Diceros bicornis minor: one gene and its partners. Each later gene encodes a partner of the first gene's protein in a complex. Links are inferred from orthologs where the notes say so. Each region holds a gene or a part of one and is shown in the gene's direction. Other genes may lie near its edges.

The links.
Region 2: RNF113A (region 1) and BCAS2 share a complex: the UniProt entries of both Homo sapiens proteins name them as parts of the pre-catalytic and catalytic spliceosome complex. The link is inferred for Diceros bicornis minor from reciprocal best matches to the Homo sapiens genes RNF113A and BCAS2.
Region 3: RNF113A (region 1) and CRIPT share a complex: the UniProt entries of both Homo sapiens proteins name them as parts of the minor spliceosome. The link is inferred for Diceros bicornis minor from reciprocal best matches to the Homo sapiens genes RNF113A and CRIPT.
Region 4: RNF113A (region 1) and SNRPD2 share a complex: the UniProt entries of both Homo sapiens proteins name them as parts of the minor spliceosome. The link is inferred for Diceros bicornis minor from reciprocal best matches to the Homo sapiens genes RNF113A and SNRPD2.

The regions. Positions count from the first base shown.
Region 1 is NC_080781.1:110,360,436-110,366,656, reverse strand, and holds RNF113A (E3 ubiquitin-protein ligase RNF113A), read left to right. Parts: upstream 1-4,454; 5' UTR 4,455-4,614; coding exon 4,615-5,646; 3' UTR 5,647-5,702; downstream 5,703-6,221. Other genes in the region: NDUFA1 (NADH dehydrogenase [ubiquinone] 1 alpha subcomplex subunit 1), read right to left, coding at 1,318-1,338, 3,262-3,351, 4,219-4,320. UniProt on the Homo sapiens protein: Required for pre-mRNA splicing as component of the spliceosome. As a component of the minor spliceosome, involved in the splicing of U12-type introns in pre-mRNAs. E3 ubiquitin-protein ligase that catalyzes the transfer of ubiquitin onto target proteins.
Region 2 is NC_080743.1:47,233,646-47,241,661, reverse strand, and holds the start of BCAS2 (pre-mRNA-splicing factor SPF27), read left to right. Parts: upstream 1-5,001; 5' UTR 5,002-5,051; coding exon 5,052-5,144; intron 5,145-5,254; coding exon 5,255-5,347; intron 5,348-8,016. Other genes in the region: DENND2C (DENN domain-containing protein 2C), read left to right, coding at 226-465, 707-793, 2,069-2,100. UniProt on the Homo sapiens protein: Required for pre-mRNA splicing as component of the activated spliceosome. Component of the PRP19-CDC5L complex that forms an integral part of the spliceosome and is required for activating pre-mRNA splicing.
Region 3 is NC_080751.1:38,647,425-38,655,148, reverse strand, and holds the start of CRIPT (cysteine-rich PDZ-binding protein), read left to right. Parts: upstream 1-4,721; 5' UTR 4,722-4,808; coding exon 4,809-4,824; intron 4,825-6,822; coding exon 6,823-6,888; intron 6,889-7,637; coding exon 7,638-7,692; intron 7,693-7,724. Other genes in the region: PIGF (phosphatidylinositol-glycan biosynthesis class F protein), read right to left, coding at 760-851, 2,264-2,512, 4,055-4,075. UniProt on the Homo sapiens protein: As a component of the minor spliceosome, involved in the splicing of U12-type introns in pre-mRNAs. Involved in the cytoskeletal anchoring of DLG4 in excitatory synapses.
Region 4 is NC_080773.1:19,907,269-19,914,153, reverse strand, and holds the start of SNRPD2 (small nuclear ribonucleoprotein Sm D2), read left to right. Parts: upstream 1-3,868; 5' UTR 3,869-3,961; coding exon 3,962-3,963; intron 3,964-5,605; coding exon 5,606-5,785; intron 5,786-6,885. Other genes in the region: QPCTL (glutaminyl-peptide cyclotransferase-like protein), read right to left, coding at 1,271-1,552, 2,293-2,436, 2,931-3,140. UniProt on the Homo sapiens protein: Plays a role in pre-mRNA splicing as a core component of the spliceosomal U1, U2, U4 and U5 small nuclear ribonucleoproteins (snRNPs), the building blocks of the spliceosome.

The DNA.
Region 1 (6,221 bases):
GATGCAGTCAACGGAAACCACACAGTGCAGGTGTGTTTAAGGTCATAAGCAGATCAAATGTTACACTAGATAAAAGATGGAGATGAAAAACAATTTAGATTTCTCACCTACAGGTCCTGTGGCCATCTGGGGTGTGGATCTATACACATGGAGTATCACCATCTTTACAGCAGTTATACCTTTTCAGATCTTCATATTATTTGGTTACCTTTAATGTTGAACATGCAACTCTTTATTTCAAGTGGTCAGTACACTCATTTTATTAAACATGATTGTTGCTGCTCTACACTAAAACAAAAATCAACACTTAAGCAAATACTGTGTGTTAGATACAGAATGAATGAAAGTTGAAGGTGCAACGTTTTAAAGCATCCTAACTGGAATTTTATTTTTTATTTTTTTTCCCCCAAAGCCCCAGTAAATAGTTGTATATCATAGTTGCACATCCTTCTAGTTGCTGTATGTGGGACGTGGCCTCAGCATGGCCGGAGAAGCGGTGCGTCGGTGCGCGCCCTCCGAACCCGGGCCACCAGCAGCGGAGCGCGCAAACTTAACCGCTAAGCCACGGGGCCGGCCCCTAACTGGAATTTTAAACACTATAGGATTCACCCAGAAAAGGAACTAGAAAAAAAGTACTACTCTTTCTGTATTCTCCTGACAATCTCTGAAGAAACAATGTTTTTTAGTATATTAGTATCTATTACAATAGTAGCAACTGCCATTTATGACACATTAGATGTTGGGCACTGTGGCAGGTGCTTGGTGTACATTTTTTTTTGTTTTGTGAGGAATATCAGCCCTGAGCTAACATCCATGCTAATCCTCCTCTTTTTGCTGAGGAAGACCGGCTCTGAGCTAACATCTATTGCCAATCCTCCTTTTTTTTTTTTTTTTCCCCAAAGCCCCAGTAGATAGTTGCATGTCATAGTTGCACATCCTTCTAGTTGCTGTATGTGGGACACAGCCTCAGCACGGCTGGAGAAGCGGTGCGGCGGTGCATACTCCAGATCCAAAGCCGGGCTGTCAGTAGTGGAGCGCAGGCACTTAAGCGCTAAGCCACGGGGCCGGCCCCACTTGGTATACATTATGTCTGTAATTTTACAAGCCTCAGTCGCTTTCCAGTTTTTTTAAAGTGATAAAGCTACATTGGGTAGACTGCTTGATCTTGTGTAGTACTATTAAAAAAAGTAAAGAAAACCTTCGATTTTACTTTTTCATTTTATTTTTATTAGGTACTACATAATACATTACATAATCTTCTAGCAGGGGTAGATGAGTATAACTGAGTTATTTTTCATCAATCAGGAAAATGCTTCCTTAATCAATGTTCTCCAAACCCTGAAAAACAGTTTAAAAAGGAAAACGTGAAAATTATTTTCCCATCAAAAATGTACACATACTCTTATTTCCAGTGTCACCAAATGGCATTCTCTGTCATTTAAGAAAGTACTTCCACATCCCACATTGCTCTAACTCTAACAATAAATTGGACTGAATTTTATAATCACTAAAGTAAAAAGAATAACCTATAATGATTTCTAGTTTTCTTTTTCTGACAGCAGCAAACATTATCACTTTACATAAAAAGACCCTCCCATATCAAAACTAAAGGCAAGCAACTACATAGTTACCATCTGCATCCTTCTATAAAGTACCCTCAGAGAGTCAGAGGACAGTAAGATAAAACCGTTTTATAAAATAACAGTCAACATGAGGAAGATACTATTAGCCTCATTCCACTGTTTTACAGATGAAGAAATGGAGGCTGAGAGAGGTTTAAAGTTGCTTGCTTAAGTCAGTAAGGCAGTAGCAGAGCCAGAATTCAAGTTTAGGGACTCCTCCAACTCCAGAACTCTTGCCCTGTAAGCATGACACTATTTATTCAGAAGACCCACTCTGTCTTACTCAGTTCACAACCAAATACTTCAGAAACTATAAAGTAAAAGATTAAGTAAAAGAAATGATGACATTTCTTCCAGGTGTTAAAATAACACAGTCCAGATATTTTGTTTACTATTGTAGGAAGAATCACCTTGAGACAAATTAAAATTGCATAGTCCTAGGGGCCACCTTGTAGAAATCCTAATTCATTTGGTCTGGCCAGGGGCCTAGGAATCTGTATTTTATCTCATATGCCAGGTGATTCTGATGGTTATTCTTGGACCATACTTGAGAAATACTGCTCTAGATTTGTAGATATCATCACGTAGATTAGATTAGATTCTCAAATATATACTGAGGGGCAGATCACCTAGGTTGAGTCCTTATAGTGTTATTTAATCGTTCTGACTCTCTATTTTTTCATCTATAAAATGGAATTAATATTTACCCAAGTTCACTGAAGAATAAATGAGCAAGAAGAAAATATAAAAAACTAAAATATTTTAAAAGAATAATGAAGACGAACTCCTACAAGATATAAGAACATACTATTAGGTTGAACCATATGAAAATGCTACTACTTGGCCATTTTTAACCTACAAAAAACAGCAATTTCATATGATTCAAGCACATACAAAATTATAGTGCTTCTTTACATATGGTATTGGTGCAGGAATTGGCAAACCAATGGAGTATAGAAGAGTGCATTCATGAAACAGGCCCAGGTGTATATGGAAATTTAGTTTACTAGAGTGGTATTTCAAATAAAAAAATGGACTATTCTATAAATGGATAATTGTGACAACTGGCTATCTCTTAGAAAAAAGAAAAGTCAAATCCTGGCTTCACATTATGTCCCAAAATGACCTGTAGAAGGGTCAAAGCACTAAATGTAAAAAGAGAAAAGAAAAGAAAAAAGAAACTGTAACAGTATTTAGAAAAATTGTAAGAATATATTTTTACAATCTTGGGTAGCAAAGTCATTTGTAAGCAAGACAAAAAACCCCAAATCCAGAAGGATAAACTATGATAAACTGAACATCAAAATTAAAAACTACTATCTGATGAAAGACATCGTGAAGTGAAAAAGACAAACAGCAGACTGGGAAAAATATTTGCCACATATAAAATAAAAGATTAATATTCATAATACATAAAGAACTGCTATAAATCAAAAAGAAAAAGACAACAGAACAAGCAAAGATTATAGGCAAACAATCCACAGAATAAGAAATACAAACGATTATTAAATATGTAAAAAGCTACTCAACCTCACTAATAGACAAGAAAATGCAAACTAAATTAGCACTGTAAGACTTTTGGCAAAATATTACCAGAACCCACCTCCGTGACAGATGGCTAGCATCAGAACCATCTTACCTTTGACTTATAGTAATGATTAACTCCAGAGATGCGCCTATCTCTTTCCATCAAACTCCACTGATATGGATAATAGGCAACCCTTTTTTCCTACAATTAAAAGAAATTATTATTGCAGTTTATAAACATAAGTGACCCAATAGAGGGATACTAGAACTTTAATAAGTGACATTATAGAAAAATGGAATCATCACTGAAATAAAAACCAAATTAACAATAGAAGACAATAATCCTAAATAAAATCGGACGACTAAACTTTAGAATTAAGATGGTAACCATGAGTTCTTACACTTTCCTATTTTAACCAGCATCATTTTTTTTCTTTCCTCCTTTTTTTAAAAGATATGACTACTTGTTTCCTTTTGGGACCCTAATGAGAAGAAACAACAGTGGTAGATCACACGTGAAGGACAATCACAAAAGCAGAAAGCAAACACATTTACACTCTGTATTCCAGAGATGATGGGAAGGACTAGGAAGAGAGGAAAATTACAATCCTGATGTGAATAACAGGATCTTGCGGTAAATTCCTAAAGGCTTGCAAGAAAAAGTGGGAGATAAAAAACGTCAAGGTAAAAACCTAATTAAGGGTAGGGAACACGTCAAAAACGAAGCTACCAAGACGTGGATGCGAGAAATTAAAATCAAAATCCAGCAAGAAAGGAGATTGGAGGTCGGAGGAAGCGGGGACAAAACTAATTGATGCCTCTCTCTGCCTCTACTCTGCCCTCTTGCCCACTCTTCACCCAGCAACTTCTTGCTAGAGTAGAATGTGGTTTCCGTTGGGCTTCATTCCGCAAGCCTCTGCTTTTAGGCAACACGAAGAAAGGAGAGGGCCGACCTTGGGACTCCCCATCTCGGAGAGAGGCTCCGGGTTCTACCGGCCTCCCTACCCCACCGCCCAGTTTGTAACGCCAATCCGCGGAGTCAGCCGTCGGGCCGCAGAAGCTGCCTTACCTTGCCCCCGTTAGTGAACCTGTTGAGGCGCGCCGTGGCCATTCCGGGGATGAACAAGCACACGGCCATGACGGCCATCCCGGGAAGAATTTCGAACCACATCGCAACACGGTTACCGGGACCAGACACTTCCTCCCAGGCCCCTTAAAGGTGACCCGGCTTCGGTCCCTTCCGGGTAAACTCCGCGGCAGCCCGCGAGCGGGGCGGGGTCACGTACGCCTCTGGAGGAAGCGACGGAGTCCGGCAGGGTTCAAGAGTGGCGTGTGCTCGCGCTCCCGCGCTCCCGCAGTCTTCCTTCTGCAGTCTGTTTTGCTCCGAGTCGCGGCGGAGCGCACGCCGTGCAGTGACGCGAAGAGGCCCCGCGCGAGCAGCCGTTTCGGAGCTCGGGACTCTAAAATGGCGGAGCAGCTTTCTCCAGGAAAGGTGACAGACCAGGTGTGCACCTTCCTCTTCAAAAAGCCTGGGCGGAAAGGGGCTGCAGGCCGCAGAAAGCGCCCAGTCCGCGACCGAGAGCCCGAAGACAGCAGCAGCAGCGGTGAAGAAGGCAGCACTGTGGTTCGCCCGGAAAAGAAGAGGGTGACCCACAATCCGATGATACAGAAAACCCGTGGCAGTGGTAAACAGAAGGCGGTTTACGGCGACTTCAGTAGCGAGGAAGAGGAGGAGAAGGAGCCTGAGAGTCTCGGCGTGGTCTACAAGTCCACCCGCTCGGCGAAACCCGTGGGCCCAGAGGATTTGGGGGCGACTGCTGTCTACGAGCTAGACACAGAGAAGGAGCGTGACGCACAAGCCATCTTTGAGCGCAGCCAGAAGATCCAGGAGGAGCTGAGGGGCAAGGAAGATGACAAGATCTATCGGGGAATCAATAATTATCAGAAATATATGAAGCCCAAGGATACGTCTATGGGCAATGCTTCCTCCGGGATGGTGAGGAAGGGCCCCATCCGAGCTCCCGAGCATCTACGTGCCACCGTGCGCTGGGATTACCAGCCCGACATCTGTAAGGACTACAAGGAGACTGGCTTTTGCGGCTTCGGAGACAGCTGCAAATTCCTCCATGACCGTTCAGATTACAAGCATGGGTGGCAGATCGAACGTGAGCTTGATGAGGGTCGCTATGGTGTCTATGAGGACGAAAACTATGAAGTGGGAAGCGATGATGAGGAAATACCATTCAAGTGTTTCATCTGTCGCCAGACCTTCCAAAACCCAGTTGTCACCAAGTGCAGGCATTATTTCTGCGAGAGCTGTGCACTGCAGCATTTCCGCACCACCCCGCGCTGCTATGTCTGTGACCAGCAAACCAATGGCGTCTTCAATCCAGCGAAAGAATTGATCGCTAAACTGGAGAAGCATCGAGCTGCAGAAGAGGGTGGTGCTTCCGATTTCCCAGAAGACCCCGATGAGGGTCCAATCCCCATTACTTAGTTTTCCCATTATTCTCAAAAATCAAAATAAATATTTTGTTGTTTTGGAAATGTTAATTCGTGTCCTTCCTTTCCAGGGAAAGTGTCAGAGGAAAAGGCGGGTGGTGAAGTAGGGTCCTGGATGGATACCTTGTAAAAGCATCGAGGTAGGTATAATCTGAATTTTTACCTTGTATAAATGCTGCCTGTGTGTAACAGATCCTTTTCAGAATCCTTTGGCTTAAATTCTGGGGATGGGAGAAGTTCAAGAAAAGAGCTAGAATTCGCTGAAATAACCAAAGCTGTGATGAAAGCAAAAACTGAACCTATTTGTTATATCACATTTCCGTATCAATAGTTTACAAAAGTACTTGCATGCGTTATCTCTACTGGGAGCCTATACTACTTCAAATACACCCCAGCCAAGGTGCGTGTGTGTTGTGGGGGAGGGGGGTGTTGAGTGGGAGAATTCGGTTGGGGGACTTGTAGCTAGCACCACAGGGTCCACCACATTCTATAACAATGTATAAAGTATAGTGGGGATACATGAGAAGCCTACTGGGAAAATGGCTTAATAAATCATCACACACACACACA
Region 2 (8,016 bases), on another chromosome or scaffold:
AATAAGAGTACGTGTGGGAAGAAAATGAAGGTAAGGCTATAAGCCATTTGCTTTTTGCAGGTCATGGAGAATGCAAAAAACCAAGAATGAGGATTCCTATATTTATTCTCAGTCCTTTAAGCCATGATTTCCTAGGCATCACTTTCATAACCAGAGCCAGTGTTCCCATAAACACAAAACTTAGGGGATTTTTTTCTTTTCTTTTCTTTTTCTTTCATTTTGCAGCAGACGTGACGCTCAACTCTCTGGTGTCCGAAGCATTTGTCAGATTTTTTGTGGAGCTGGTAGGACATTATTCTTTGAGCATGACTGTCACTGAGCGTGGGGAGCGTGTATTCCAAAGGGAGCCATTCCGTAAATCCCACACCTCCCGAAGTGTACGCCACTTCCTGGATCTCTTCATGGAAACTCAGATGTTTGCAGGATTCATCCAAGACCGAGAGCTTCGGAAAAGTGGAGTGAAAGGTCAGTCTCATCATAAAGTTCTCCCTTTGTATTTAGCACTTGAAAGGCTTGAAAATAATATAAATAAAAAATAGCATAAAGCTACAAGGGCTCAAAATCTGAGTTGTTTATTATGGGAAATATTTATTTTGTAATATTATTTTAGCTATGGAAGTACATTGGTAGTGAGACCAGAGTTTCATTTAGTTGATTTTCAGTCTTGAGTTTTGGACAATTTCACCAACATGAATTTTCCTTGTAGGTTTGTTTGAGGTCCGGGCCCTCCAGTATTTGGAAACAATTCCTGAATCTGAGCCCAGTGGGGTGAATAGAATTTTGCGGAGTCTTGGTGAGTTGCTGAGTTTTCCTGTTAGATAAATGTGGCTGAAAAAGCTTTTGCAGTAAGCATGCCTCATCACAAAAGCTTTATAATCAGATCAACAATGTAACCTCAAGTAGGTTGACCAGAAACCATGACACTAGTTCCAAAGTGTCTTTTGGAAAAAAGAAGTCTCTTTCTCAGAGGTTGGGATTATCCATCAGAGTTGTCCATGGGGCTGTTTTCCACAGATAAACCTCCCTCATGATATAAGAATTTGCATATCATGAGTATTATTCTTTTCTAGGTCACATCCCTGAGAGAATCTTATAAAACTGCGGACCTTTTTCCCAGGAAAATATACTTGGAGCATTCAAACAAATTTTGCATATAAATTTAGGGTGTTCATGGACCCCCCCTGAAGCCCATCCATGGACTCCACACCTGGTTTAGGGCCAGCCCTGGTGGCCTAGTGGTTAAGTTCAGTGTGCTCTGCTCCGGCGGCCCAGGTTCAGTTCCCGGGCACAGACCTACACCACTCGTCTGTCAGTGGCCATGCAGTGGCTCACATACAAAAAGAGGAAGATTGGCAGCAAATGTTAGCTCAGAGCAAATCTTCCTCGGCAAAAAACAAAACAAAACAAAAACACCTGGTATAAAGGAAGTCTGAGGCAAAAGGATTTCCTGCAAGTCTGTAATTTTACACTTCATAAAGAAACACTTTATGATTTTTCAATTTTAGTTAACTTTTAATTATCTAGTATGATATAGGAGAACAGTAGTGTGGTAGCCCAAAACATGAAGAACCTATATTCTATGATATTTATATTGGTCTTTGAAATATATCTCCCTAATTAAAATTAGGCCCTATCCTTAACTAGCTGAGAGACCATGGACATATTATACTTCGGCTGTTATTTCATCTTTATACCACGGGGTTAGATAAGATCAGTGGTACTCAGCTCTGACTACAATATTATAATCTCTGGGGAGCTTAAATAAAAATCATTCCCCCCACACCCTGCTCCCCCTGGGTCCAAGAAATCTCTGGGGAGCAGGCCAAGTGATTTTACCTACAGTTAGGGTTGAAAACCACTGGATTAGATGATGTCTGAGTTCTCTTCCACCTCTACAATTAGACACTTGCAGAGTTTTTTTTGGTGGTTAAACACAGCTGATAGCTTGAGATGGCAGCTTATTCCTGGGCTGTTCTGAATGACGAGGTTGTTAATCTCTTGCCTCAAATAATGTACAATAAATAAAAACAAACTAATGAGAGTTCACTCTACTTTTTTCTCCTTTTAGGAAGTAAAATGAAATTTCTGCAGAAGAAATGAAATCTTTGATTGACTATCTCCATCCTAAATAGAACAGATAATGCCAAAGAAAATATTTTCAGAAAGTCAGGATGCCGTGAAATATTCTACAAAATCCTTGAAAGTTGAAAAGGTTACCAAGTGGGCCAGGTTCTTGGAGGAGGATTCTGCTGTTGCTGCCGTAGTAATCACTGGAGAATTGTTGGGAGTAATCTGGAACCAATGCTGTCTCTACTCTGCCTCCGATTTTCTTTAAGTATTTGATTCTTGGGTTCATTCTTTGTGTTTTGTGCTTAGACTATGAAAGCACTTGAATTTTACAAGCGAAAGACTTAGTGTTGCATTTTTTAAAAAAATAGCTCAAAGATGAGCACAATGAGAGAAATGCTGAGTTTAAGGTCCTAGAGAGGCATGCTAGAAGTGGAGAATACTAGCCCTACACACATAATTCTCATCACTGAAACACCATGGCAGCTTTAAACCTATGGGCTGTTTGAGCTGAGCTAAGGAATATACTCATCATATATATCCTTTTTTTTTTTTTTTGTCTAATGTTCTGTCTAGGGGAATTTCACTTATGCAGAAGCCCTATTTATTAGCACTATTACTGAGTATCTTATACAAGTAGACATCTTGCAGCTCCTCCACATTGTGTGGCACTTGAGTAGCTTGTCCCTTACGTGTCAACATTAAACTTTGTGGAATTATAGCTAATAAGAATATGTCCTTTCAAGGGCATGAGAACTACCTTTTGTGTGTGTGTGTGTCCGCCATGTGCCATGCACTATGGTATATGTATGTGTGTCACCTTATTGATTCTTTAGATCAACTTTATAAGATATTTGCATCTCCATTTTACTAATGAAGAAACTGGAATTCAAAGAGGTTAAATAACTTGCCCAAAGTTATACAGCAGAGCCAGAACTGAAGCCAGGACTACTAGTTTATGAACACAGAGAAAGTTGGTTAGTCCTGCAGATGGAAATGTGAGCTCTGTGGGATTATGTAGCTATTGAAAAAGTTTTCTTTTAAGCCGAAGTGTACCAGAGGCAACTCTTAGGGACTTCAAACTGTGGGTGCCTAGATAAGACTCTTTTTTGGTTCCCCTAGATTCGGTGGACTTTTTGCTCTAATTAAATTGGATTCAGAATATGGATATTTTCTGGGCACACATGACATAATCACGCCGACCCTTAATATCTATCTAAAGAAGTAGTAGTGATTGGAAAGGGGAATTTGTCAGTGATGGTACAATTTTCATTGATAAATACTATAGCAAGTGTCAGTTTGTTTTCTTCTATAGCAAGTGTCAGTTTGTTTTCTTCAATTCCTGCTGATGGTTTTAACTGGCATAAAAAATATTTATTCAAACTTAACAAAACCTTACAAGTTGCGTTATGATCAGTTTATTGACTTGTACAGTGTTGTCATTACAACCCGTTCAGGTGTGCATGAATGAATCTAAAGCAGACATCATTTAAGACTGGTGCTGTATATTATAGTTACTATAGATGTGGGTCCAGAAAATAGAACTGAGCCAATGTCTTTTAAAAAATGTTTATTAAGCAGCTTACCCCAGTGGGGCTCTTACCAGACATCTCCCCATTTGGTCTCTTCTGACACTCCAACCCTGAGGGGACAATTAGTAATTGGGAATTGAGTGTTTATAAAATGGGGGTAGGAGGTATTACTATGGTAGATCCTGGCCAACCCTATGTGAGGGGACCTTTGCTTCAGGGATGGGGGTCTTATTTTATCCGTGCAATCTGAAGCTGCTTCCTTTTCTTAGGCCTGTCTTATTTTGTTTTTGTGAAGTGTTATGAATTCTGGACATGTTTGTAAAAAGAATTGCTCAAGATTTGCATAAAATGTTGTTTACAGATCTTTTAATGAATAAACACAAAAATTCCATGGATCTCTTGGAGAATTTTAAATAAAACTGCATAAAATGTAGACATCTTTTACTTCCCTTAAATCTACAGCTAGCACATTTATCTAATGGTAGGTTAAAAGATAACCCAAATCGAGTCTAGATTAACCAGACTTAATAACCGTGGCCAACATTTCCAGGCTCCTGACAGACAAAGCCTGGGTCTAGGACTGCACACCGGGCAGGGTATATATATAGTCCGACTATGTATAGTATATATATATATATACTGGGAGCCACCGACTAGAGACAGTGCACCGGGAGCAGCATGGGTGGTTGGGAGGCAATGCGGAGCGCTATTCTATTGCTGGAAGTCTTAAAGGCAAAATGATTGGATTTGATATGCGTCTTGAAGATAAAATGACAGGATTTTGAAAAGTTGGGGTTGGTGGGCTGTTATCAATCTCGCCCTGGGGGTAGATCTGGTTCCTTTTGTTACGCAGACTCCAGAGCTTCGAAATTTTAACTGGAGACTGGCGCCTACTTCTCGAGTCTGTGAAAGAACTACACTTATCCAATGCGATGGTTCTCTGGGCGCCGAGAACGAAGAATAGTGGAAGTACACCAAGGAAATCCAGGAGAGAGAAGCCTGGCACAAAGTAAGAGAAGTTTAAGGGGAAAAGGCGGAAGGTTAGGGGAGTAAGACGAGGTAAGAAAACACTCTCTTCCCGCCAAATCCTGCAGCCAGTTCCCTCCGAAATTTTAAAGGATTCCCCTCCCAGGTATCAGCGTTCTGGAGGAAACCAAAAGTCTTAACTACTCTCCAAACTGCTGCCAGTCGGAAGCAAAAAAGTGGAGCGTGCGGAGACAGGAAATTGAGATGTTCCGCTGACTCTAGGAAACCATGTCGTGACGTCACGTCCGACCAAAACAAAATGGCCGGGCAATTCCTAGTGCCTGGGCGAGCGTGCCTTCGGCATTAGCAACTGAGCATGCGCCAAAGCCACTGCCCAGGCGACGTGCTTTACGTCGGTGATGGGCGCAGGCGTATTTCGGTGGGCCTGAGTTTGCGCCGACTCAGAAAGCCCAGGCGAGCTCAAGAATGGCGGGTACTGGTCTGGTGGCCGGAGAAGTTGTGGTGGATGCCCTGCCGTATTTTGACCAAGGTTATGAAGCGCCCGGTGTGCGGGAAGCGGTGAGTTCGGGGGTGTCTGTGTTGCTGACTCAGCGCTCGCTGACCCTTCGTGCTGAAAGAGGCGCCTTACAATTTGCTGGCTGTACCCTGGTCCCTGTTCTCCTTTTTAGGCTGCGGCGCTGGTAGAGGAGGAAACTCGCAGATACCGACCTACTAAGAACTACCTGAGCTACCTGACAGCCCCGGATTATTCTGCTTTTGAAGTAAGTGTGATGTCTTGAGCCCAGCGTATGAACCAGGATCCTGTGAATCGTTCTTTTGGGTTGAGAGCCTTAGCCACGTAAAAGTGAATTTTAAATTCCGGCTTTAACTATTGCTTGCTTAGCTACTACTTCCGCTGTTATAAGGTATCACCAGCGCATTGAAAACCGTTAGATAAGCTTCTTCTGGGGTTCTTATTCTGAGACCCACAGAAGGACTTTCTGGAGCTGTCAACAAGCTAACAATGCAAAAATTAGTGTGTACGTTTTTCCGAGATGGGTTCCTTGCGTAAATTCTCGAAGAGATCCTTTACTCTCTAAGGTCCGCTCTAAAACAAATGATCTAGGGTTTTTTAATATATGTAAGTCTCATTGCCTAAGCTCTTGAGAACCACTGGAGGGCGGCGTTTAAGTGCACCCAAGATACTATTCAGGGTCTAATCAGCTAAATGAAGTGTAAAATATCAATTCTAAATTAGTGAATTCTGGTAAACATTTTAGTACATACATGTTTGGGTTTTTTTCCCCATTGTAGGTAACCATTTATTTATGAAAGAATGCTGTTATTAAAACGCAGTATTTAGGGCTGGCCCCGTGGCTTAGCGGTTAAGTGCGCACGCTCCGGTGGTGGCGACCCGGGTTCGGATCCCGGGTGCGCACCGACGCACCGCTTCTCCGGCCATGCTGAGGCCGCGTCCCACAAACAGCCACTGGAAAGATGTGCAGCTATGACATACAACTATATCTACTGGGGCTTTGGGGGAACAAATAAGTAAATTTAAAAAAAAAGGCAGTATTTATGTTGAAGTAACGTGAAAAAACATTGGTTAAGTTTTAAGTAGGAGAGAGATGTTGCTATGATACGGTATTTTCCCATGCTCTTTCTAAATGTTGTTACCTAGTTATAGTCATTACCACATTAAGAACTAAGCACAGTAATGCTTATTAGATTGATTTCTGAAAGTTTCAGATAACTGCATTCAATCACAAACTTTTAAATATTTGAACCAGGGCTGGCCCTGTGGCTTGGTGGTTAAGTGCGCGCGCTGCGATGCTGGTGGCCCGGGTTCGGATCCCGGGTGCGCATCGAGGCACCGCTTCTCCGTTCATCCTGAGGCCGAGTCCCACATACAGCAACTAGAAGGATGTGCAGCTACGACACACAACTATCCACTGGGGCTTTGGGGGGAAAAAATAAAATAAAATAAAATCTTTAAAAAAAAAATAAATAAATAAATATTTGAATCAGTTTTAGCATTTTTAGCTCTCTTAAATACAATGCATGCTTCCTATCTTTATAATTAGTATACTGATTATGTAACCCTTTTTAATAGTAGGAGCTAATAGTGTACTGGGCTTACTATTTCAGTCCTAAAAACAACCCTGTGAACTATGTATGTGTATTATCCCAATTTTTTAAAAAGGGAAACTATAGCTGAGAGAGGGTAACTAATTTGCTTAAGACCTTAACCACTCTTCAAACTGCCTTTGAAACTGTTCTTCTTTTAATTCATTTAACAATTATTCATGAAGGGCTATTCTATGCCAGGTATTGGGGAACAGGATGGGCAAGGTCCATAGTCATGGAGCTTATATTCTAGAGTGTGGAGACAGACAAATAATCAAAGAATATCAGATTATTAATAAAGCTATATAGAGGATTGTAAAGTAGTGATGTGATTTGGAGTGACTGGGTGACTATTTAGATAGGATGGTTGAGGAAGACCTCTCTGAGATGAGAATGCTCCATGGACAGGGATCTTCTTTGTCTTCTTCTCCACTGTATCATCATCATTTAGAAGGGTGCATGGCACACAATAGGCACCTAAATGTTTATCAATTGAACGTACAAAGAGCTTCTAAGACAGTTTTATTTAACGAATGCTTACTGTGTGCCAGACATGCCCAGAGCTCTTTTCATGACTTAGCTCCATGAGTGTTGGCTCAGTCTTTGGAGAGAGTTGAGTTAAAATTCCAGATCTGTCTCGTACTGGCCATGTGAGTTAAGTAAGGGCTCCTGTGTTACATGGCTCCAGACTGCTTGTACTGCATTTTTATAGTTTCTTATCTAATTGTTAGTTGTTACTCCGTTTCTGTTACTGTACATAGCCTTCTAGCTAGAATGCTAGAGCTACATGTAACTCAACAATAGTCCGAAAAAAGGCTTTCTCCAATAAGAAATGCTCGATGCAAAACTTTTAAACAAGGAATGTGTGATTCCAGAAGGCCTTTTTTGCTTACTCTTTAGTCTAATTGTTAAGATAGTTGAATCCCTCGAAAAATTAAAATTACATGAGATAACTAAGATAATACCGTAAATGAATATTTCACTTAAGCAATTCTGTATTCTCAGGGCAGGAAATGTGCAGAACTCTGTGGAATAGGATATTGACCAAAACATTGGACCTAAAGAAGTTGAGCTATACCACATTTTTTGAAAATAGTAAAATTATTAGAGCAGCTAGCAGAACCAGTTCCTTTTGTCTCTTCCCCCCTTCTCCATTCTTTGCAAAGAGTAAAGTGTGAAAATAGCAGCCTGAACCAAAAAGAAAGTATAAGTTTAGGCTCATAGCCCTAACACTAATTGTTTTATGTCCAAGTCCTTTCTTCTCTTCCCTTACCCCCAGTGAATACTTAGAACCATGGTTCTCAACACTTGCTTCACTTTACAG
Region 3 (7,724 bases), on another chromosome or scaffold:
TAGATAGAAACTACCATTTCTCATTACAAAGGTCTTGTCCTCCCCTCTGTAGAAAAGAATAACCTGTTAGTTTAGTGTGTATATACATAACTATGTATATATATATAAAACTATATACATAATTATATATGTATGTGTGTGTGTATATCACATCACTCATTTCACCATGATCACTCATCACTGCTAAACTGAAGTTTCCCAAACTATAATGAACATTATTTAAGAAATATTCATGAATTTAGTTTTCACTAATTTAAAATCAGTTTTGAAAAAGTGTTTAAATTTTACTTTTAAACTATAAACATTACCTTATTAAGTAATTAAATATAGGAACCTATTGACTTTTCTTAAGAAAACAAACTCTTTTTAAGCACTTCAGAATCACATTTACTAAGAACTGATATATTAGTTATAATTAACTTACACATATCATTACATAAAAGTTCCTTAGAGGTTCTAAGGGCCACACATTTATTGGTATAGTAGAGTTTCTCATCTACCTCCTCCTCACATGCAAGTGGGTGACATAAGGCTAGGTAATAGGAGAATTTAATGAATTAAGTTATTCCACTGTTTTTTAAAAGAATAACACTGCTAAGGAAGGGCAATGTGTCAGCATCCTTACTTGATCCATTAATTAAACACACCATGGTTTTCGTCTAATCACCAATAGAATTAGCACATTATCTAGTAAATGAGTGTTTTAAAACATAATTGCCACAGATAAAAATTGCCTTCAGATAAAAATTTCAGACTTACTCTATTAGTGGTGCTCCATAGAGAACAAAAATTATATGAAAGGAGAAACAAGACATAAGAAAATAGATACAGCATTTCAAAAATCTGGTTACCTAAAAAAGAAATGAATAATTTAAAGACTCAAGAGAATGCCTAAAGAACAGCAAATGCCTCCATTTTACCTACAAACACAACTTATTCCCATAATGTGTGATACAGTCGAATGTTCTTTGGATTTGGGTACCCTGCAGTCAGATCACATGTCCCATCAGGTACACAGCCCTCAACACAGCCTTACAAAGCAAGCATCACCCCCATATTCCACCCACCCAACCAACACTAGAGTCAAAATGCATTTGTTTCCATGGTATGTATTGAGCTATGTTGTTAATCAGTATTTATAAAATATTTACCAATAACAGAGTGCTGGGATCACATACACGTGACCACACATGAAATATTTGCAGAAAATAATGACTATAATAATTTTTTTCATTTTAAAACAAAATCCCTAGGAAAACTACACCAAAAAAAAGCACAATACTAAATAATTCTCCAAATCATGTTCATGTTACTAGATGATCCACATGAAAAGACTTACATGTTTGTAAATTAGTGTGTGGGACCTACTTGACTTGGAGATTAAGAAGATCTAATTATAAAACATGCAATAAGCTTTTTTAATCATAGGGCAGTAAACGTATTTAAAATTACCTCATAGAGGGCTTACATAGTATTGAATAATGTTAAGTGAGGACTTTATTAATTTAAAGTAATAGTCAAGTGTTACACTGTGGTGAATATTTCAGAAAACAGATTCTATTATCTGAAAACTTTACTGTTTAGTTAAGGAAGGCCATATTGAAACAAGAGCTATCATAGAGTCTTATTTTCTAATTTCTGAAAACCTCATTAAGTGTCTTTCAGAAATGCAAAAAATAAATGAAAATAAACTGAAATGTCTTATAAAATAAGGTTTAAAGTTATGACTGCTATATGTATTTATCTCCAATGATCACATAAAACTTGATTATATGGGTTCACAAAGCTATAATATCCACTTAAGACATCCTAATTTTGGGGCCAGCCACGTGGCGTAGCAGTTAGGTGCGCACGCTCCGCTGCTGGAGGCCTGGGTTCGGATCCCGGGCGCGCACCAACGCACCGCTTGTCAGGCCATGCTGTGGTGGTGTCCCACATACAGTGGAGGAAGATGGGCACAGATGTTAGCCCAGGGCCAGTCTTCCTCAGCAAAAAGGAGGAGGATTGGCATGGATGTTAGCTCAGGGCTGATCTCCCTCACACAAAAAAAAAAAGACATCCTAATTTCACAACTAATGCACGGCAAGGATCTATTAAACATTGTGAGCAGCATTCCAACAAATAGGCTACTGATTTGACAAAGAAATCAGGTTCTCTTTACTCACTGTAAATAACCCAATGAGTACTTGACTAATACTTTATTCTTCCATTAAAAGAAACGCTACCTCCATCTAAAAATCAGTTATCAAGAAATAAGCCTTACCTTGTATGATAATGAACTTCTTCTAGAGGACGCATTTGGTTTCACCACTAAATATAATACTAGATTGACAGCAGTTACACAAACAGAACAGATGCACAACCATGTCAAGTGTGTTTCCAATATTGAGAAGTTCTCCAAGAACAATGATGGAATGAAGATGCTTAGGATAATTGAAAATATGCATAAAAGATGGGTATACAGTAGTCTCTTGATATCAGTATCTTTCATGGTGTTTTCTTGAGTGGCTATCTAATGAAAAACAAATTAAGAAAAAAGCATATGCAATAACTTTTTCCATCATCCTAAATGCTCTAACGCCTAAAAATAAGCCTTGAACCAAAGTCAATTTTCTACGGGCAACAAGGTATTGCTTTCACAATAAGATGCATATGCGTAAATGCACATGTAGACTAATATGGTACAAATAGCTCTCAGAGCCTAAAAAAGACAAATTTACTAAGTTCTTAAATATTTGCGACTGATTTCTGCAACAGAGTCATGTGCTAGGACCAATTAAGCAATTCAATTTCTTTTTTTTTTTTTTTTTTTGCCAAAATAACAGAGGTGAAAACTAACTGCATGGATTAATGACCTCCCCCAGCTGGAAATATAACCTATGCATTCTAAAAATCCCATGAATACACTTTGGCTAAATTGTTGGCATGTTTGTTTTTTTCACCATTGTAGACCTTTGTCTCACATGACAGGAGTTCACATCTTCTAGCAAATGCCAAGTGACACCAACTGCAAACTCAAATACTCAAATGACGGCCGGTGTAATCAAGAGAGTTCAAAGAACATTATGCTAAACTAAGGGACCCCAGTGCTCCAGAAATACCAAAATGACAGTGTCTGTTACAGGTGCTATACTCCAATCAAATGTAGAGCAAGAATGGGGGCCGGCCTGGTGGCACAGTGGCTAAGTTCCAGAACTCCGCTTCAGTGGCCCAAGGTTCACGGCCCGGACTTATGCACTGCTGGAGGAAGATGGGCGCAGATGTTAGCCCAGGGCTAATCCTCCTCACCAAAAAAAAAAAGGAGCAAGAATGGAAAAAGAGAAAAAAATGTACTTTCTCTCTATACATAAAACACGTATTTTCTATATATATTTAATTATTCATTACCTAACAGACAGCTTATACATAGTGTTGAATAATGTTAAGGACCTTATTAATTTAAAGTAATAGTTCACATTCTGGTGAACACGCTAGGGAAAAAAACATATATTTTATACACACACACAGAGGGGGCGCCCACTAGCGCAAAAAGGCAAGTCCAGGCCTTATTCTAACAGATCTCATTTAATTCACACTACAATCTTCAAAGGCAAATATTTTACTGATAAGGAAACAGGCTAAGACAGGTTAGGAGACAAGTCAAGGTCCCAAGCTCCCGAGTGCCAAATCCATTTCAAAACCTAGTCTCTCTGACAAAAGATACACACTAGGGGTCGAGAAGAGAATGAATAGCAAGGGAGAAAGGAAAAGTTTCTCACAGGTCCTATCCTTGGCTGATTGAGGGGTGGGAAGGGGGATCCGGAAGACATTGTCTCAACAGACACCCCTTAGGACGTTTTTCTGGGCCACGCTCCGAATCCCAATTGACATCAGAGGATTTGGATCTAATACAGTGAGCAGTACCCAAACTCAAATGCTTGCCGAATGAATGAACGAACGAACGGAGAGGGGGTCAAGTGTTTGCCCTTCCTGAGAAGCCAGCACTGTGTTAGGCCCTGGCGAGCCCACGGGGACGCCCCGGAGGCGGCCTCAGTCCCGGCGTCCGCGTTCTGACCTGGCCCGGGTCCACAGGCATTGTGGCGGGAGAAGAGGCCCTCTGAGCTGCTCCCAGGGGAGCCTTCGCGGGAATCGCGGGACCTTTATCTGCAGCCCCACCTCAAACTGTGTAGCTCGGGACTCTACCCAAGCCTCAGCCGGCAGGAGTGTGGACAGCAGGGGACGAGCTGAGAGGCATAATCAAAGAGAACGGGCATGGAGCCCAGGAGAAACGGAGGGACAGACACAGAAGGTCAAATCCCAAAGACGGCCGGTCCATCAGGGCAGCCCCTGGGGCACGCCGGAAGAGTGGCGCTCGAGCGCCCGGGGGCGCGGGCGGAACGGGGCAGAGGCTCGGGGCCACTAGGACAGTTGGCGGGGGCTGCTTTCACCCCCGGGAAGCTCGCGAGCCGCGAGCCTTAGACTGGGCTTACCTAACTCGCCCACCTGCGGAAGAGAAGCGAGACCTACTACCTCCCACCATCAGGTGCGACTCGCCGCCCTGACCTTCGCGCAGGCGCAGGCCTGTGGGGCGGGGAGACCCAAGGCCGCACAGCCAATCGCAGAAGTGGAGGGGCGGGCAAAGGAAGCAGCCCCGCCTTCCGCCCGCGTTTATTCCTCCCGCGGCTTTCCAGGCGTAGGATAGGCGGGGCGGAGGGCGGGGGATCCGGAAGTGGGTTGCCGTAACCCGGAAGGGGAATTCTTCCCTGGCAGTGCTGTTGATGTTTTCAACCCGCTGCTCGTTCTGCGGCTAAGGGAACCGTCGCGGAAGGATGGTGTGCGAAAAATGTGAGTTAAGGGGTGGCTTCTGCGGGAGAAGGAGGCTGGAAGAACCTAACTGGAGTTCCCCGGGAACTTGGCCCTTTCTTTGTTTTGCCAGCGGCCACAGCACTCTGATTCTAGCCTGTCTTCCTACTCTGCCGTTTGACCATTCTTGCCCCTCCCCAACGACCATATAGGTTGGTCTCAGTTTGCACCTCTTGGTCTATTTCCGTTGCTTTCCAGCAACCCCAGATCTCATCCCAAACAGCTTCTGACTGGCTCTCTTGCCTCACAGACCCTCAGGTGGGAATGGGTCTTAAAATTGACTTCTACAGCATCTACAGATTTAGCAAAAAAATACCAGACGCCCAGTTAAATTTGGGTTTCAAGTAAACAACGAATAATCTTTAGTATAAATGTGTCCCGTACAATATTTGAGACTTGGCTCTGCTGCTCCTTAGTACTGCAAGTGCTTTGTCCCCGAGGACTTTTAGGACATTCTTTACAGAAAAAAGTATTCATTTTTTTTATCTGAAATTTAAAGTTAACTGAGCATCTGTATTTTATCTAACAATCGTAAGTCAGTATTCCATACATTGGCTTAATTGTCCTCTGCATGAATATCTACAGTATTGAGGCTGGGGCCAGGAGAGTCTCACCACCTTGAAATGAGTCTGTGTATACTTCACTGACTTTTAGAAAAGTCTTTCCTCCCTATAGTTGCTGTCCAGTGATTCTAATGCCAACCCTTGAGATTTCTAGAAAATATCTGATGATTTTTTTTACCTCACAAACCGTTTATATGTTAAAAACAGCTGTCATATCCCCAAGTCTCTTTTTCCTCACACTAGACATATCTGGCTCTTCTGTCACAAGGTTTCAAGAACTCTTGTCCTCATTGCTGTCTCATTAACATGATCCAGTTACTGTCTAACATGATCCATTTTGTTTATATCTCCCTAGTAGATAAAACTTTGAGCACAGACATCCATGAGTTTGCATAACAGTTCTTATATTAGGTAAAAGGATGACCATGGTCAGATTACTTTAATAAATTCTCAGTGTGCAGAGAATAATTTGGGGTTTCTGTATTTGGAGCCTGGCATTCAAGATGACCCTCCACCATAAGGCCTCAGCTTATCTTTCCAACTTAATTGTCACTAACTATTACCCTCTTCACACTTTGGCCAAACCAAACTATTTTGCATGCCCTTGTGTATTCTGAGCTTTCCCTGCCTTTCCTCAGGCTGTGTCCTTTATCTAGTTTGCCTTCATCCTCTTTCCTCCTCTTTCTTCACAGTCACATTGCCACAAACCCTCTCAGTTGCCTTCCGCACAAAGTTTTCCTGGATTTCCCTAGACAAGGTTATTTCTTCGTCCGTGGAATTTCTCCTAGTACTTTAGCTCTCAATTTATTTTAGCTCTCAATTATTATACTTTTTATTTTCTAGCTTGTATTTTAGTTGAATGGTTCTTAACTTTTTTTTGGTTCTCTGAGCCCTTTGAGAATCTGATGAAAGCTAGAGAAGCTGATGAAAGCTATAGACTCTTACCAGAGTCTGTAAAAGAAATGGACATACAAAAGGTTTGTGTGCAGTTTCATCTTGTTCATGTACCTCTTAAGGACTACTGTTAGAGAAATCAGTGTACTATAAGCTCCTTGAAATCTAGAGCTTCATCTCATTTATCATTTTATTTTTCTCTGTAGTTTGTGCAATGATTTATAGATCATAGGTGCTTAGTAAATATTTATGAAATGAATAGATTTGTCAGATTTATATAAAGTATACATGTACATAAGAAGCCTATTATAAACCATACTATTATCCTACAGATTTTACTGAGAGTCCGTCATCCATTGCCCACAGTTAATATCTTAAGTCTTGGTTCATTGGCCCTGACCCCAGCATTAACAGGCTTCTACTATAATATGATTGCTGATACAATTGTGAACTTTAGGCACAATGTAATGTATTTATTAGATAGTAAATACTAATTCCCCTTACTTTTACTGTCTTGTAACAGGTGAAAAGAAACTGGGTACTGTTATCACTCCAGATACATGGAAAGATGGTGCAAGGAATACCACAGGTATTTTTTCCTTTTAGAACATAGAAATTGAGTTGAATACTTCTTGTGAATAATGTTTTAGTTTTTACATCATTTGGAAAATGAAATGTTTTTATATGTAGAAAATATTTCATGTATTAAACATTAAGAATACTGGATCCCGCAACAATTTAATATCTTCTATTTAGTTCTCTCAGTTACATATTGGGGTTCCTAATTTGGTAAATAGGACATAGCAAAATAATTAAATGATTTTCAAGCCTTGAGTATATCAAAGTAATTGATTTGATTCAACTTAATTGGAGTTGGTATTTAATTCCCCCTCTTCTCACCTGATTTTTGTATTCTTGAAGAAATCATTTAAATATTTTCACCTTCATAATCATTCAGTACAATGAAGATGTTTTCAAAGGGAAGGAAAAGAAACACTTTTTCAAGGTCTATGGCACCAAAGTAATGGCATCTAGATTTTACATTAGTGCATTAAATGTAGACCCACTCCTAAAGTCCTACTTTGAGTCTAAGAAGTAAAATGATTGCATTTTATCCAATTTTTTATTGTTTCCCCAATAAACAGTTGTTTTCTTTTCAAGTAGTGTCTTAAGAACCTGGCTATTAACTGAGGAATTTTGAAAATTTTCGTATAGGTTGGTCTGTTGGTAGGAGGTTGAAAAATGAACTTATTAACTAATTGTTAAATGCTATATGATTATGTTATGTGTGAAATGTGTGGAAATGACCCACTAAAATACGTGTATATTTTGTTATAGAGAGTGGTGGAAGAAAGCTGAACGAAAATAAAGCTTTGACCTCAAAAAAAGCAAGGTAGGTATAGGAGCACCTATAGAGCAGTCATA
Region 4 (6,885 bases), on another chromosome or scaffold:
CTTCCGAGAACTACAGGGTCCTGAGAGCGCGTAGGAAGGGGGCGGAGGATAACCTCGCTCAGGAAGCACATCTGGGTCTGTTGGGAAGGGATGTTCGCGTGGAGAGTGAGTGGGAGCTGGTCTGGCAAAGTGGAGCAGAGGGAAGAGTGTTCCCAGGCAGGGAAGCAACATGGAGCAGGGCTGGGGCGAGAGGGGTTTGAGAAAAGGCCCGAGGGTTCAGCAAGGGCCAGGGAGCTTGGGGCACTGGGGTTTGAGCCATGGAAGGGGCTGAGCAGGGGAGGAGCGTGAGGGGACTTGTGTTTTCGTTCATTCATTCCATACATTTTTTTTTTGTGAGGAAGATCAGCCCTGAGCTAACATCTGTGCTAATCCTCCTCTTTTTGCTGAGGAAGACCGGCTCTGAGCTAACATCTATTGCCAATCCTTCTCCTTTTTTCCCCCAAAGCCCCAGTAGATAGTTGTATGTCATAGTTGCACATCCTTCTAGTTGCTGTATGTGGGACGCGGCCTCAGCATGGCTGGAGAAGCGGTGCGTGGGTGCGCGTCCAGGATCCAAACCCAGGCCACCAGTAGCGGAGCGCGTGCACTTAACCGCTAAGCCACCGGGCCAGCCCCATTCCATACATTTTTATTGACCTCCTCCTCTATGCCAGGCAATATTCTGGGCCCAGGAAATACAGCAGGAAACAAAAGCAGCTAAGTCCCTGCCTGTATGGGGCTTATTCTAGTTGGGGAGAAAAACAAGTCAACATAAAGCAGCATAAAGCATGAGATAGTGCCAGGAGCTATTTTAGGGGGGTTGGGAAGGCCTCTTTGAGGAGGTGACTTTGGAGTGGACACCTGAATGAGGGTGGGAGCCACCCAGGAAAATGTCTGAGAAAAGCACATTCTGGGCAGAGCAAACAGCAAGTGCAAATGTCCTGCGGTGAGAGTGAATTTTGTGGGTTTGAGGTACACAGATGAGGTGGGTGGCTAGAGTGGAGTGAGCGAGGGGTGAGAGGTGGTAGATAAGACTAGAGAGGTAACAAGGCACACCTCATGGGCCACTATAAGGACTCTGGCTTATGCCAGAGGAGTGAGGTGGGAGCCATGGAAGGGCTCCCAAAGGGCAGAGGAGGGACAGGATCTGACATTCAGAAGGTGGAAAGATCCCTGTGGCTTTGTGTGTGGAGTAGAGGCAGGAAGACAAAACCAGGTAAGGGAGGGTGGTGGCTTGGACCAAGGTAGAGGCAGCCCCGACTCCCACCCTTCCCCTTCCCCCACTCCTCACCTGATTCTTGGCTCTGCTCAACTCCAAGTCAAGGGCTTGGGCCAGCTCCAGGAGCAGGGCGCAAGGCACAGCTGAATCTGTGGCCCCCACGAAGGGGGCTGACCCAGATGGGAAGAGCTTGGAGTCGTAATGGCAGGCAAGGGTGAGGTGACGGGCAGCCCCTGGGTCAAGTGTGGCCACCACGTTGCCAAAGTCCAGTGGCCCCAGGGGCGTCGAGGACGTGAAGGGGTCCAGCTCCACATGCCAGCCTGCCGTCAGGGCCCGAAGCGTGGCCTCCAGGAACTAGTGGCGAGAGAGGCGGGAGGGTGGGCGGGGACTGGGGAGCAGGGCCATGTGACCTGAGCCGTGCAGAGCAGCCAGGTTGACTCACAAGTCCCACTGTGGTTTAAATCATTCCCTTGACACACTTCTGCTGAGTCTCTACTGAGTGCCAGGGGTGGGGTGATCCCGCCCCTTGATGCCAACAAGATTAATCACAGCTCCCTCTTCAATAGCACTAGGAACCCTGTGGGGTAGGAACTGTCAATGGCTCCATTTTGCAGATAAGGAAACAGGCACAGAGAGGTTAAGAAACGAGTCCAAGGTCACACTCCAAGTGGCTGAGGTGAGATTTGAACTCAGGCAGTGTTCACATGACTATCCATGCTTTCTGGGAAGCAATATAGAGATGTTACAGCACCAGCTCTGGAACCAACCTGTTTGGGTTGAAACCCTAAGTATACCATTTATTAGCTGTGGGCTTTGGACAAGATGCCTAACTGCTCTGGGCCTCAGTTTCCCCATCTGCATAACGAAGATCACATTGGTACCCACCTCACAGGGCTGCTGCTTGTGCCTAGCACATAGCACGTTTTCGGTGGGGGCAGTACAGCCTGGTGATTACCAGGTGGGACTCTAGAGCCAGATTAGCTCCAATCAGAGCCCCAGCTCTGCCTCTTAGCTGCTTTGGGATCTTAGGCAGAATGCCTATCTCCTGTTCCCTGGCGGGCTGCGGATCAGGGGTTGGAGGCGGGGCCCTTTACCTTTCTGACTTGGAGATTGCCCGGGCTGCCCGGGGTCCGTACAACCAGCAGGGGGCGCAGATAAGCGTTCCAGAGACGCTGTGGGTCCAGTCGCCCCACCACCTTCCGCAGCCGGGCTTCGGGGAGGCTTCCGATCAACGGGCCCTTGGGAGTGGGGTGGGATGGGGCAGAGAAGAGCAGAGTGTGATAACAACCCCCATTCCGACCCTACCCCGGGCGCCGCCACCCCTAAGAAGCCCCAATTCCTCTCGCTAATCGCGGTCTCTAGCATCGGAGGTTTCTAGGATAAATTCTAGACTCAGGAAAAGTCCCTCCAAGCCCATCCGGTCCAGCCCACCCCAACCCTGATGGGGAAATCGAGGTCCAGCGAGAAGAAGGGACTCCGCCAAATAGCTGACTTTAGGATTAGAACCCAGAACTCTGTCTTATTACTCCAGACCCTTCCTCTTAAAGCGGAGCCACTGTTACAGAACAAGCCCGAAGCTTCATTCCATTGGCAAGGGGCGTGCGATCTAATGACCGAGACAGTGGCACCTGCGGTTAGGGCCATACGAGAAAGCCACGTCAACCTGAGACCTTAGGGAAGGGGAGCCGGGGAATGAGGGCCCCCGCGGTGCCCGCCCCCCGCCCGGCCTCACCCGCAGCTCCCGGGCCGGCGGCGGCTCCTCCGTCCGGCGGTGCCAGCCGCTCCAGATGGTGTAGAACGCCCAGGCCACGGCCAGCGCCAGCAGCAGCAGGGGCAACAGCGGTACCCGCGGTAGCAGGCGGCGCTTGGGCGGTGAGGGTGGCTCCAAGAGGCCGCGTTCTCCGGGCCGTGGCCGGGGCCGCCCGCGGCCCCCGGAACGCATGGCAGCTTCGCCCTGAAACCGGTCCGGGACCGCGGATAGAATTTAGGCCAAGCCAAGTCCCACCCCATGAAATCAGCGGACCAAAGAACAAGAGCGGCTGAACCATCCGACCCTCCTGCCAGCACTGAAGCCAATGGGGACTCCCGCTCTGAGGACACGCCTCCCCGTCTCCCGCGGGCTTTGGGGTTGGTTCCCCCGGAGGGCTGCACAACCCAAAAGGGAGCGCGGAAGGGGTGGACTCCGCCTCAGCGGAGGAGGAGAAGCCAATGAGAAGCGTTTGATCACGTTAAACAGGCGCCCTCCGGGGCGCAGGTCCACGCCCCTCCGGATGTAGGCAGAGGATTGGTTACGCGGAGTCGGAAAGATCAATAGACACGTAAATAACCAGCCCCCGAGGGGAAAGGGGCGGTGTCCATCCCTGAAGCGAGGAGCGGATTGGCTTCGCGGAGGCCGCGCCCCCGGAGGCAGGGCCGGCGGGTATTTGGAAACGGCGTGTCCTTTCCCTCCTTCAACCTGTGCCGTTCTACGACAAAATGGTTTGGGTCGAACCCGCTTTCTTTTCCTCTCCGTGGTCGTGAACATCTGCCCCATACGGTCCCGAATGGCCTCGAACCACTACGCAGCACTCGTCTCCCGCCGCTGGGCCGGGCGGGCGGGGATCGCTATGGCAACAGGCCACGCCCCCAGTCGCGGGTTGGGTGTGCGCAGGCGCCCACGGAAGTGGGCTGCCGGAAGCGGAAGTCCCGCCTTTCGCTCTCTCTTTAGAGGCAGAAGCAACGCGGAGAAGACGGGAGTGCGTTGAGAACGCAGTCACTGCCACCATGTGAGGCCGGGCCGGGCTTAGGTGGCGGGAGTGGGGTTGAGGGTGTAAACTGGGCCGCTTACCGGTGGAAGGGGGTGGGCAGAGCGGGGGGCGGGGGCAGAGAGTTTAGGGTTAAAGTGGCGTACTTTTCTCCTGATGAGTTTGCGCACGGGCGTGGGGCCTTTGGCGGATCCTGACCTCGGGAGAGGGAACGGCTTTATCAGATAACGGGCGAGGGCTTTCCCAAATGCTTAGTCTTGTTGAAATGAATGTTAAGGGGCAGTGATTTTACGAATAAAGACCCTGGGAGAGGGCAGTGCGGACTTGTAGGAATAAAGGTTTGAGGTAAGGGACTTAACCGGATCTTATGAGCTTTACGACCTAATTCGCGACTTTTACGGATAACGAGTCCCCGGAATGATTTGACTTATTTATTCATTTAGTAATTATTTATTGACTGCGCATGTATCAGGCACTGCTTTAGATACATCAGTGAGTTGTCTCCCTCCCAAAGAAAAAGTCCGCCGCTGCAGCTTATGGGGTGGGAAGAAGCATAAGTGTAATGATAATAAACAGGTAAAGTATATGGTGTGTTAGGTGACCAGGGCTATGGATGAAGAAATAATGGAGCAGCAGAAAAACAATGGGGAATGCCGGTTTTGAGAGACTGAAGGACACAATGAGGAGGCATCACTTGAGCGAAGACCTGAAGAAAGTGAGAGAGCGAACCACAAAGATACCTGGGCGGGGGGTTGCTAGACTGAGAGAAAAGCAAATGCAGAGGCCCAGGATGAAAGTTTGCCTGATATCTTCAAGGACCGCGGAGGAGGCCACTGTGGCTGGAACAGCCAGAAGGGGGCAGATGTAGGGCATTGTAAAAACGTTGGATTTTACTTTTTACACCAAGAAGGGAGCCATGGGAGGGTTTTGAAGAGTGAGATGATATGACTTAAGTCTGGAGAACAGACTGTTGGGGAGCATGGGTGGAGGCAGGGAGACCAGTAAGACCCTAGGAGAGAGATGACGGAGCTTTAGGCCCTGGTAGGAAATGGTCAGATTCTGGATATATTTTATTTTGTCGTTTTCTGGATATATTTGAAAGGCCCATGACAGGACTTGCTGACAGATTGAATGTAGGATGTGAGAGAAAGAAAGAGAAGAGTCAGGTCGGTCCTGTGGCGTAGTGGTTAAGTTCCATGTGCTCTGCTTTGGCGGCCCAGCTTCATGGGTTCAGATCCTGGGCACAGACCTACACCACTTGTCAGCCATGCTGTGGCAGCAACCCACATACAAAATAGAGGAAGATTGGCACAGATGTTAGCTCAGGGCTAATCTTGCTCAGCAAAAAAAAAAGAGAGAGAAGAGTCAAGTTGGCCTCAGAGTTTTTGCTTAAAGAGCTAGAAGGGTGGAGGTGCCAGTGACGGAGATGAGGAAGGCTATGGATAGAGCAGATCGGGGTGGTTGGGAGATCTGGAGCCCAACGTAAGAGGTGCAGGGTTAGAAATGTCGGTTAGGCAGCCTAATGGTGCTGCCAAGCGAGAAGACTGAGGTGGGGGGGGGGTTGGGGGGGTTGGGGCAAGGTCGGGAGGCCTGAGCACAGGCCATGACCACCCACGCTCCAGCCAGGCCCTCTCACTCACGGGTTCCGTGCTTGCCCACTCAGGAGCCTCCTCAACAAGCCCAAGAGTGAGATGACCCCGGAGGAGCTGCAGAAGCGGGAGGAGGAGGAGTTTAACACGGGTCCCCTCTCCGTGCTCACGCAGTCCGTCAAGAACAACACCCAAGTGCTCATTAACTGTCGCAACAACAAGAAGCTCCTGGGCCGTGTGAAGGCCTTCGACAGGTGAGCGCCTGGGTCTTGGGAGGTGTTCCGTCCAGGCCTGGAGAAGCACTGCCAGCTGCCCTATAGGGAGCTGGAATAAAGCATTTCTCAGAAGCCCGGGGCATAGTATCTCAAAACCCCGAAGTGTGACTGTCCCCCATTGCCCTTCCAGCTGTGAAGTGCAGTGGTTATGGCCACGTACTTGGCAGCCAGTCCTCCCGGGGTCACGCCCCAACTCTGCCTCTTAGCAGCCATGTGACCTTTGGCAAGTGACTTTCATCCATACAGTGGCAGTGATCATGGTGGTTGCAAAGATTCAGTGACTTAATATAGGTGAAGTTTAGTGGGTCATTAGAAGTACAGCATCTGGCGCACAGGATGCTCCTGATCCTTTTTTGCAGTTGTGACATAGCGTGTCCGCCCGTGCCGGGTACTGTGTGAGGCTCTGGAGATATAGCAGTGACTAAAACAAACCTGGGTCCTATACTCAGGGAGCTTATGCTGTAGGTAAGAAAGCCAGCAGCAAACACATAAATAATGTGTCATAAAGACAGATGATGACAAGTTGTATGAAGAAGAGTAAAGGTAAGAGGGTGGAGTTCTGAGAAGGGGGTGCTGTCTTAGATGTAATCAGAGAGGTCTGGTCGGAAGAGGCAACAGTGAACAAGTTGAATAAAATGAAGGAACAAGCGGGGCCAGCCCCGTGGCGTAGTGGTTAAGTCCCGTGCTCTCCGCTTCAGTGGCCCAGGTTTGCAGGTTCAGGTCCCAGGCGCGGACCTACACCACTCGTCAAGCCATGCTGTGGCAGCAGCCCACATAGGAAATAGAGGAAGGTTGGCACAGGTGTTGGGTCACGGCTAATCTTCCTCAAGCAAAAAAAAAAAAAACAAGATTGGCACAGATGTTAGCTCAAAGCGAATCTTCCTCACCAAAAGAAAAATAAAGGAGCAAGCTAGGGTCTGAGTGTTTCAGGCAGAGGGAACAGCAAGTGATTTTTCCTCTCTGGGCCTCAGTTTCCCTATCTGCAAAACGTGCATCATCATAATACCCCTCATTGTACAGTTGTGCAGATTAAACGTTATTATGTATGAGAAATACTTGGCTCAGTACCTAACACATGG